3 linked regions of the Arabidopsis thaliana genome follow. Each later gene encodes a partner of the first gene's protein in a complex. Each region holds a gene or a part of one and is shown in the gene's direction. Other genes may lie near its edges. The genes, in order: TIM23-2, TIM17-2 and TIM17-1.

Region 1 (3,722 bases):
AGTGACCAAATTTAAGTAAAATCAAGAGTTCTAACATTTTTTCAGATATGCATAGTGGACAGCTTCACGACAAGTATTATCATACTATAAAACGTCAAAGTACAAATAATTAGTAGTATAAGACTTTACATTTAGAACTCGGTGTTCTCATTTGAGAAGGACGAATCATCTAAGATTGCTGATAGTAGTAATAAGCCATTTGCACAAGTCAATGTAAGATAGAGTTTACACGTGCCAATAACATAACTATCCCTCCCACATATATAGATGATGTCTCTAATAATCTGTTAAGTAGTTTACAAAGCGAGCACATATAATTTTCTGATCTGTGCATAATAAATAGCAGAGAGAAATTTGTCAAACCTCAATGAAATGATAAATGGAACTGACATCAGATCCATTACCATCGGCTAAAGCAGAGAGAGCTTCAAATATCACCCCGTCATACCTGAAAATAGGGACATATCAGAAGTTTAGCAATACATGATGAAGATTATTACTCAGAGTTGATAGACTAGCATTTATGGAACTAGTCTCTCATCATACTTTCTGGCCTCAAGTATGAGAAATAGAGAACAAAGAAAGACAAACCTAGGAGCATTCTTTGTATTTTCATCAGGGATCAACTCAGAAGGTAAAGTACGCCGACCGGGAGGAGGTGGAATAGTAGGAATAGGCCGTGGAATAGTGACAGCATCATTTGCATCTGCAGCCGGAGTGTCGCCTTCCTCTTTGACTTTTGCTGGCCGTGCCTTATTAGTTAAACTTTGAGTACCAGGGGGAACACTCAAGTTACGCCACTTATCCTATTAAGTATTGAAACACACAAAATTTTCAAACTCTTCTTCATAAGACTACCACCAAGTAAAAGAAATCCATAGCAAAATGAAGGACAGTACTACTCTTTCCACCTCAAATCTCCAACTCAACCAAGCTAGCTTTAGGTATTGCACACTTGAATCAATAAAAAAAAAAACTTATAATCTATCCAAGGAATCTCTAATCCTATAACCAATGATAAGAGGCAACACTAATAAAACCTATTGCCAAAAGTTTTGATTTTTTATGGATCTTAAACTAAGCAGATACGACAGAGTACATAATGCACTCCGGGTTGGTCTCAAATTCGATGTCTAGGTTTAATATATGGTTCAACGAGAGTGATTTTAAAGAGGTGAGTGAAGAAAAGAGAAACCTTTAGGTCAATGTTGGAGCGATGGATGAGCTGATCAGCGAATTCTGGATCCCGGAGAATATTCTTCCACTTTCCAGGACCGTGCTTTCTGATTCCGGCGAGTAACGCCTCCTCTTCCTCCGCCGTCCACTTTAGTTTCTGGTTTCCCATCTAACCCTTGCGTGATTTACCTCGTGCTCTCTCTCTCTCTCCAAGACAATCGGCGTGTAAACGGAGTTAGACGCAGTCTCTTCGCCGTAGCTTTCGCCGGAGGTTTCGTTTATTTTTGGCTCTGCGCAGTTGTGTGACTGCGGGAGGAGGTTTCCAGTTTGCAAAACTTTTTCGATTATTTACTTCCGAATTTATGCTTTTTATTTTGTCTTCTATTTACGCTCTCGAAATTAAATCGAATTTTTTTTTTTGGCCTTTTGACTTAAATTAAAAACAAATAAGCTTTGTATTTGAATCCTTAATTATTTTATTTGAAGTTTAGTTCTCTAAATAAAAACTGATGACAAAAAAAATTCATAAAATTAGGTTCGTTCGTCGTAAAAATATTTCTGACATTATAAGAGAAACACCTGAAAATTCGAGGATGTTTGGTTGTCACGATGGATTGCAATTTTGCAAAGTAATTAAGTATGACTTTGAAAAGTCCAATGTTGAAGAGGTTAATTTTGTAAAAATTAAACTTATGGGGTCACATTCGAAATATCAGCAAATACAGTGTGTGGTGGTAAGAGAAAACCAACTTGGGTTTAAATAGAGAAAATAAAATAAATGGGGTTAAGTTCGAAATAAACGTAAACGCGAGTATTAAGCGAATCTGGTACTGCGCGTATCTGGAAACAACTGGACTGAGTCTTTCCCTAAAAACCCTAAACATAGATTTTTAGTTTAGTTTGGTTTCATTTCTCATTTCGGCAACCAAACCAAACATTCAGAGAGACACAACACAACCACATCATCACACGTTTCTCTCTCTCTCTTTCCTCTCCGTCGTCTCTCTCTCTCTAGCCACCACCAAAATCCTTAAAACCTAGACTTTTCTCTTCCATCGATGGCGGCTAATAACAGATCCGATCATGGGTCAGACGAAAACACAAGACTTTACAATCCTTACCAAAACTACGAAGTCCCAATCAACAAATCTCAGTACCTTTACAAGCTTCCTACCTCCCCTGAGTTTCTCTTCACGGAGGAGGCTTTAAGGCAACGTAGATCTTGGGGTGAGAATCTCACTTTCTACACCGGAACAGCTTACCTCGGTGGCTCCGTTGCCGGAGCTTCTGTTGGAGTCATCACTGGAGTCAAAAGCTTCGAATCTGGCGACACTACTAAGCTCAAAATCAACAGGATCTTGAACTCTTCTGGTCAAACTGGTCGAACTTGGGGTAATCGGATTGGTATCATTGGATTGGTTTACGCAGGGATCGAGAGTGGTATTGTGGCTGCCACGGATAGAGATGATGTTTGGACCAGTGTGGTGGCTGGTCTTGGAACCGGAGCTGTTTGTAGAGCGGCGAGAGGAGTGAGATCTGCAGCTGTAGCTGGTGCTCTTGGTGGACTTGCGGCTGGAGCTGTTGTAGCTGGGAAGCAAATTGTGAAGCGGTATGTGCCCATTTGAAGACTGCAAGAGTCTAATTGGCAGACTCTTTTTCGGGTCGTTGTTGAAATTTTTGATAGGGGAAATGGTGAGAATTTGATAGGTTTGGTATGTCTTGGAATCATAAAAATGAAAACTTTATTTGGTTTCTAGAGGTACAACAAGTCTGTATGTCAAGTCATAATGCAGTTTCACTTTGAAGAATAACCTGCAAACCTTTTTCTTATATTCATACTGATTAAATGTTTTGCCGATTGGTAATTTAATTTGTCATGAGTGTGTTTGTTCTAGTTAGTGTTTTATGTTTCTGTTTTTGATCAATGTTAACTCTTTCTTGATTCGTTGAGAAACTGATGTGTTGTATTACATTTGAAAATGAAGCTCTTCTCTCAAGTTTTTTCTTATCATTTTGTTAATTGGGATGGTGTAGTGTGTTCACATAATTGTATACCTCTGTTTATCTCATTGAGTACTAACCTGATATTTGATGGTGTTATTTTGTTACCTATTATATCCCCCTGGTTCTATTTCTCTGGACTGTTCTCTGCTCTTAGCTATTAATTTTGTCTCCAAGATTTCACAAGCTTATGATGATGGATCAGTCACTTTTGGTTTTGTGGTTTTTGGTTCTCAAGTCTCAGGCATATTGTGTAGCAAACCTTCTCTAAACTCTTACCGTCTCTAGACCTTATCAGCTGCTCTAAATGAAGAACAAATAGTGTCCTCTAATCTTTTTATTAAAGCCTTAAACTTTCAGTTTTGCAGCTTGCTTAGAATTTTTGTTTTGTTTCAGAAGATCATGTACCTGCAAAATGACATTTCGTCTGATTTCTTCATTCGAATGAGGGTCTTTACATCAATAAACAAGTCTTCTTTAAAGTGTAGAATTTTACATGAACAAAACTAAAAGAATGTTTCATATACAAAGATAAGGGAACTCCC
Region 2 (4,178 bases), on another chromosome or scaffold:
AGATCGACTACTTCTCTTATTCAACAAAGTATCAGCTGTACGCCTTTTAGATGAACCTCGTTCAAGAAGAGCATATATATCATTAGCACTGTACACAACTTCTTCTTCAAGACCTCTTAAAACCACAGAACCCTTCCCATCCTCCATCAAAGAAATGGGCTTCCTCTGCTTATCCTCAGAAGATCTTGAGGAATCATCTTGAGCTAACAAATCCGTAACTTCCTCATTGTAAAGCTCCAAGAATGTTACTTTCATACTGTAATCAGCATTTTGCGCCTCAAGAGTATCGAAAATATGTCTAACAGCTCTGGGAATCACCCCAGCCTCCGCAGGTAAATCCCCTCCCTTTTTCCTCATTCCACCTTCCATAGTGTAAGTCTTCCCAGTTCCTGTTTGTCCATAAGCAAACACAGTACAGCTAAAACCTTCCAAGACTTCATGAACAATAGGTGCAATAGCTTGATCATATATAGACCGTTGTTGTGACTTAGGACCAAAAACCTATAGAATAAACACCATCAGAGACCCTTGAATACAAAACCATCAAGTAGAGAAAGAGACCAACCAACCTTGTCGAAATTGAAAAGACGGTCTACTTGCTTATTAGCAATAGTATGAAGAACATTGACTTCTCTTCTCATTTCATTACAAGAGATGACTCTAGGAACACTAGATTTCTGCTCTTCTTCACTTAATGGTTTGCATCGTAGAATCACTTGAACATTGACTTCTTTATTATCTCTATCGAGACGGTTAGAGAAAGAATCAGGTCGTCTTCTCTCGAGACGAGGAGTTAGAAACGGTGCAGGTGATGGAATCACTCCTACTCCACTTTTCCTTGATACCACCTCTGGCGTAAACGACATCTTCGATTTCTGTGAAATCAAATTCAAATTCCCTAATCAATTGAGAAAGGTTGGATCAGAATCCCAGAGATTCGAATTCTAAATAAGATTCACTTACAGGAAACAGAGCCGAATCCTGGAGATCGAAAGAGAGACTTCTTTTCAAGTTTGAGAGAGAATTTGAAGAACAAAAAAAGATTAGGGTAAGTAACCGTTGGGAGTGGAAGCAGATCCAAATTCGAATTACTAGAGAGCTCAACACTACCTTTAATTTCAAAAGTTTTTTTAAAAGTCGCAAATATCTTCTTCTTTTTTGTCTCAGTATTCATATATTGCTAGATTATTTATTTACAGGTATTATGATATTAAATATTTCAGTCAAAAAATTGTTCCAATAATCCAACAACTTTATGATTTGTAAACATGGAAAAAAGGGAAAAAAAAAAAAGGAATTGTAAATCTACTACTTTCTGATTTTATTCTTAAATAAACACTTTTGCCAATACAATCATATATATGTGAGATGGATTTACTACTTCTTTTTTTTTGGGGAAAGAATTTGGAATCAGCACTATTGGAGATGGATAAATTAAAAAAATGATCATTAGCTCATTATTATCATTGATTTGACAAAATTAGAGAGAAAGAAAAGAAAACACAAAAGAATTTGTAATTGAATATGAGAGTATTTAATTCAGTCTCCAACTGTTCTATGTGTGATTAATCCAAATGTTGTAACTTGTGAAGACCAATATATATTAACAATCTGTATACATTATACACTAACGTACCGTTGTAAGAGAGTTAATGACATTCTTGCATTATAAAGGAGCTTTTAAGCGTGAGTTCAAGACGGGTAAACAGACAACAACATCCTTTAATCTTTTCTTAGTCTATGGGCTACTCCAAACTTGGGCTACTCCAAACTTGGGCTACTCCAAATTGGGCTTCTCTACTTTAAATCTTCTACTAACTATTTGGGCTTTTATTAATAGGTTTAATTACTTTCTCTCTCAGGTCTTTCTTTTAACTAGTTTGGGCAATTGAAAAAACTTTTGGCTCCTTTTTTAAATTTTACTGAACGAAATTATCCTAAAACAATAAAAAATAAAGCAACCATATTCGAAAAGAAAAGAAAAATGAGCGATGCCGGCAAAAAAGAGAGGGAAATTAAAAAAAAAAAAAAAAAACGCAACAGTGTCGGAAAAATAAAGCTGACAAAAAATTAAACGCAAAATAGTTTGGTCGCTGTAACTTTTTTGTTTATTTTTTTCTAGCCAACCCTAATAAACCCTGACGCCGTTTCTTCTTTTACCTTCCTTCTCTCGCTCACCGTCGCACCTCCTTCATTTTTTCTCTCTCTCTCAAACTCGTCTCTAAAACTCGTCCGTCGATTAATTCCTCGTTAGTCTCAGGTATGCTTCTTCGATTCTCATCTATCATCAACAACAGTGCTTTCTCAATTCTCTTAGATTCATTTCTATACACAAAGTTTCCACCTTTTTCTATGGTTTGCTTTCGATCGTAAAGTACGGATCTTTGATAAACCCTAATCTTCTTCGTTCGATTGTATATGTTCAGTATTTAATTGGAATTAGTCAGAGATCTATTTGTTGATTTCGCAGTGACTTACAAAACCCTAAATTTCTTACTATTTGTTAATGAATCAATATTCATTTGATTACAGGTTTGATAGAATCATTGCCTGAGGCATCTAATAATGGGAACACCAGAGACATCTCGGGAGCCTTGCCCTGATCGTATACTCGATGATATCGGTGGTGCTTTTGGTATGGGAGCTGTTGGAGGATCTGCCTTTCATTTCATTAAAGGGACTTACAATTCTCCTAAAGGTAGTCGCTTTGTTGGAGGAACACAATCGGTGAGCATGAACGCACCTCGTACTGGAGGCAGTTTTGCTGTTTGGGGAGGTTTATTCTCGACATTTGACTGTACCATGGTGTACCTAAGGCAAAAGGAGGATCCTTGGAACTCTATCATTGCTGGTGCTGCAACTGGAGGGTTTCTGTCTATGCGGCAAGGGGCTGGTGCTGCTTCGAGATCAGCTATTTTTGGAGGGGTTTTGCTTGCTTTGATTGAAGGAGCTGGGATCATGTTGAACAAGGTACTGGCTCAGCCTCAGAATATGATGATGGAGGACCCTGGAATGCAAGGAATGCCTGGGATGCAGGGAATGCAGGGAATGCCTGGGATGCCCGGAATGCAAGGAATGCCTGGGATGCAAGGAATGCAGATGGGGCAGATGCAGAGTCAAGCACAGATAAGGTCAGAGAGTCAAAACCAGAATACAGCTTCATCATCATCATCATCATCATGGTTTGGAGGGCTTTTTGATAAGAAAAAGGAGGAGGTGCAACCAGGCAGTGAAAGTAAAACAGAGGTGTTGGAGAGTTTTGATGCTCCTCCGGTGCCATCATTTGAGTTCAAGTAAGCTTTGTGGACATCTATTTCTCTGTCATCCAATGGTTTACCTACTGCCTCAACTATCAATTCCATTTCGTCGTCTTTTTGTCTATCCTAAGTTCTCAGCTGAATTCTTCTTGTTCATGGAAGAATCAGCATGCTATGTTCTCTCTCTTTTCACTTATGGTTATGTTTCAATGAGCTTATGCACTCAATCTAGGAATATTCTCTTTGTGAAACCATTCCACAGATATTGTTGGTTCTTAAATAATGTAGTTATAGATTTTAACAATATTCGCCAGTGGAAAATGTTTGAGCATTGGAAATGAATCCCTTGGTCCAATATCTTAGCCCATCCACACAACTCAAACACAGCAATTATATTGTAGTCACAGCAAGTACTTCAAAACTTCAGAAAAAGATCAATCAGAGTGGTTTGTGAAATCTTCAGACTGATCAGAAGATGAACAGTTCTAACAACAATCATATATCCTTAGCAGTACTGATTCATGATAATTGTTGTGCTTGTTACTTCTTAGTAAGTAGGATCACAAAAGCTTGGTCACACCAACAATATTCGGATTAAGGAAAGAGATCAGCGTTTTGATTTGTGATATTTACATTTCCTCTTCTAGTCTTGGGCTTATAAAGGCCCAAATTCAGGGACCAAAAACGACGCCGTAACTTGAATCATATTCGAACTCGAAGGCTCCTTTTGATGCTTCTTCTTCCTCAAATCTCACTGTAGGGTTTTTAGGGGTTTTCTCTCTCTTTGCAATCATGGAGTCTCTAGGGAAGCTACAGCTTCATCAGCAACCAAATCACCTCTCTTTCACTCATTTCTCTTCATCTTTCCCCAAAAAGCCTTCGTCTTTCTCTCTCAGATCCTTACCCAGATCAACATCATCC
Region 3 (3,136 bases), about 20 Mb from region 1:
GATTATTTTTGAAATTGTGATGGTAGATCAACTGGCTCCACAACTCTCGATTTAATCCAAAATAGGGAATTTGCACTAACAAACCTTCTATTTTTCAAGTAATTGGTCGATTACAAATTTGTCCATAAATAACTAATGGCTTTGTGCGTCTTTTAAACAAGAATATGTTATAACAACACTGTTTAATCAAAAAAAAAACATGCTATCATGCACTTTTTTATTCATGATGCGAGATTACATGTTCATCCAATAATTTACTATTTTATCTACAGCCACATTTTTAAAAATACACAATAGCCCAAAGAGTGCATTGAGATAATTTGGTCAATCTGCAACAAAAATAATTATTTACCAACTACTATTTAGCACCATAGTCATATATCTAATTTTCTTCAAATTAGACCATCTAACTAAATACCTCTATGAAAAGCGCTTATTCAAACAGTTCACTTTCCTACTTAAATTAATCATAACTTCAGGGCGAGACATAAGACTACATATATAAACCAAGAAAAACCATTTATGGAACCAGTCACAGTACAACAACAATCACGGTCCATTCGATTCAACACTCTTTAGAATTACAAAACACTTTATGTAATAATGTAAGAATGTGAAAGAAGAGCCTCTAATTGAGTCCGAGACTCCCTCACTTACTCACACACACATTTTAGTTAACGGTGACTTTACCGACCATACCAGCACCCTGATGTGGCGCACAGTAGAAGCTGTAAGTCCCTGGCTCGGTCAAAGCAACCTCGTACGTCTCTCCCGCACCGTTGAGTAGATCTTGCTCGTCCATCGAGATCTTGGCCACGTCGACGCCACTTGGGATCTCGTCTTCATCGAAGACAACATTGTGTGGGTATCCAGCGTTGTTCTTGAACACAATCTTCTCTCCTTTAGCTATAGAGAAGTCGTTGGGAATAAAAGCTAACGACCCATCCCCTCCTCCCAAGAGAACTTCTATTGCCATGGCGTTTCCGGCCAAAGCAATTGAAGCTGCAGCCGCTACGGCCGCGACTCCGAAGTTCTTTAGAGATGACTTCACTGTAAGCTTCGGTGATGCAACAGCAGCAGTTTGGATTCTGACGGTGGCGGATGATTTGATGGTTGAGGCTTTAAGGCCGGTGAAAGATGGGATTGCAACGGTGGCTGAGGTTACTGAGGCCATGATGAAGATTCTTTTAGAGTAGTGATAAGATTTGGGTTTTAAGTTTTTCGTTTAGCTTTGGTTCGATCGAGTTTATGAGTTTTTATGTGGTGAAAGAGAGAAAGTGAGATAGGACAATGGATGGCTCTAAAAGCAAACTCCATAAAAAAACAAGTTATCTATAAAGACGCGTTGTGATTGGTTGATTTTAGATACTGTGTCGTGACATGGCATTATGAGGTGGAGGATGTTTGTCCACGTTTTAAATAAAGATAAGGTTCTTGAATGACGTGGCGTTTTTATATTAGTATTTTGTGATAAAGCGTGTTTACAAATGGGCCTTAATGGGCTTTGACCATGGTCAAGTAACGTGAACAACACGATATTTTTCCATTTTTGTAATTTTTCCTCATTCTTAGTTTCGTTTTCAAGGGCTCTTTTCTTATACCCTAAAAAGTTACTTGTAGATCAAAATCGAAAATCAATGGGAACTCCAGAATCATCGAGAGAGCCATGTCCGGATCGGATCCTAGATGATGTCGGAGGTGCGTTTGCGATGGGTGCTGTTGGTGGATCAGCGTATCACCTCATAAGAGGAATCTACAACTCTCCCGGCGGAGCTCGTCTCTCCGGCGGCGTTCAAGCTTTGAGAATGAGCGGGCCGAGAAGCGGAGGAAGCTTCTCCGTGTGGGGTGGTCTTTACTCAACCTTCGATTGTGCGTTGGTGTACGCAAGACAAAAGGAAGATCCATGGAACTCGATCTTATCTGGTGCAGCCACTGGAGGATTCCTCTCGTTGCGTCAAGGCTTAGGCGCGTCTGCTAGATCGGCTTTAGTCGGAGGTGTGTTGTTGGCTATGATAGAAGGAGTTGGTATCATGTTAAACAAAGTTCAGAGTACTGCGCATAACGAGCAGTTCATGGAGGATCATGCAGCTACTTCTTTACCATATGGTATGGGTCAGATATCTGGTCAGTCCGTACCGGTACCGGAGACTTCTTCTTCTTCTTCTGGTTCGGTATCTTGGTTTGGGAGTTTGTTTAAGAAGAAGAAAGAAACAGAGGATCATCATTCAGAGAGCAGAACTCACATTTTGGAGAGCTTTGATGCTCCTCCTGTGCCTACTTATGAGTTTAAGTGATGGAATTATTGAGGTCTGAATTTTACTTTTAATGTTAAGAGCTTAGTAACTAGAATTATATATTCTGCAATAAGTTTTATATAATAATATTATGAATTAGAGACTATTGTCAATTTGGATTGATATAATACCGTCTGGTTTTATGTATAATTTACCAATTGTTACAACATGATTAGCGTGAAGGTTAACTTCTTGTGATAATGTTGCTCGTATAAGTTTTAAAATTAACAAGTTCTCTCACTGGAATTGAGAAGCATACATGGATTATAAAGTGAAAGAGATACTATGGAATTGAATAGATGGAAAATATAAAGTGAACCAACAACTACTATATGTGCTTAGACATTTGAGATATAGTGTTGTGGAAGATATATTAGAGTACCAACAATACTACTCAGAAAAGTTCATATTGTAACTAGGCGATGTTGAAAGTGAAGTCATTGGGGTTCCATTTACCATTCTCCCGAAACCTCTCATGAAACATGACTTCCTTATTGCGTTTCACCGCCAATGCTATTGTACTCGTTATTTCATAGCGTCTTGTTTTCCCCTGAATCCAACGAAAGAGTACAAAAGAAAAGAGATTAATGCAGGTGTGGATTATATAAAGGGTAGATCAACATTGTTACATTCTCTTACAAATATGTCTTCTGAATCTTCTTTGTCAGTTTCAAATGGATCATACATAGTAAATCTCTCAGCAAGCTCCTTCATTGGTGTTACTTCTTCTCTGTCCGTATAATCACTCATCATCTCACAGGAAAATGTTTTCAGAAGTAATGCATGTATACCAAAAAAAGTGTTTGATTTGAATATACTATCAACTTGATGTGTTACAGATT

The links.
Region 2: TIM23-2 (region 1) and TIM17-2 share a complex: the UniProt entries of both Arabidopsis thaliana proteins name them as parts of the TIM17:23 complex.
Region 3: TIM23-2 (region 1) and TIM17-1 share a complex: the UniProt entries of both Arabidopsis thaliana proteins name them as parts of the TIM17:23 complex.

What each region holds. Positions count from the first base shown.
Region 1 is NC_003070.9:27,381,343-27,385,064, forward strand, and holds TIM23-2 (translocase inner membrane subunit 23-2), read left to right. Parts: upstream 1-2,022; 5' UTR 2,023-2,213; coding exon of another isoform or gene 2,214-2,234; coding exon 2,235-2,801; 3' UTR 2,802-3,182; downstream 3,183-3,722. Other genes in the region: AT1G72740 (Homeodomain-like/winged-helix DNA-binding family protein), read right to left, coding at 364-448, 592-806, 1,196-1,345; AT1G72755 (uncharacterized protein), read right to left, coding at 2,214-2,241, 2,439-2,476. UniProt on the Arabidopsis thaliana protein: Essential component of the TIM17:23 complex, a complex that mediates the translocation of transit peptide-containing proteins across the mitochondrial inner membrane. Links the inner and outer membranes.
Region 2 is NC_003071.7:15,697,238-15,701,415, reverse strand, and holds TIM17-2 (translocase inner membrane subunit 17-2), read left to right. Parts: upstream 1-2,061; 5' UTR 2,062-2,260; intron 2,261-2,532; 5' UTR 2,533-2,565; coding exon 2,566-3,297; 3' UTR 3,298-3,606; downstream 3,607-4,178. Other genes in the region: AT2G37420 (ATP binding microtubule motor family protein), read right to left, coding at 1-501, 570-866; AT2G37400 (Tetratricopeptide repeat (TPR)-like superfamily protein), read left to right, coding at 4,050-4,178. UniProt on the Arabidopsis thaliana protein: Essential component of the TIM17:23 complex, a complex that mediates the translocation of transit peptide-containing proteins across the mitochondrial inner membrane. Links the inner and outer membranes.
Region 3 is NC_003070.9:7,042,100-7,045,235, forward strand, and holds TIM17-1 (translocase inner membrane subunit 17-1), read left to right. Parts: upstream 1-1,528; 5' UTR 1,529-1,637; coding exon 1,638-2,294; 3' UTR 2,295-2,493; downstream 2,494-3,136. Other genes in the region: DRT112 (Cupredoxin superfamily protein), read right to left, coding at 671-1,174. UniProt on the Arabidopsis thaliana protein: Essential component of the TIM17:23 complex, a complex that mediates the translocation of transit peptide-containing proteins across the mitochondrial inner membrane. Links the inner and outer membranes.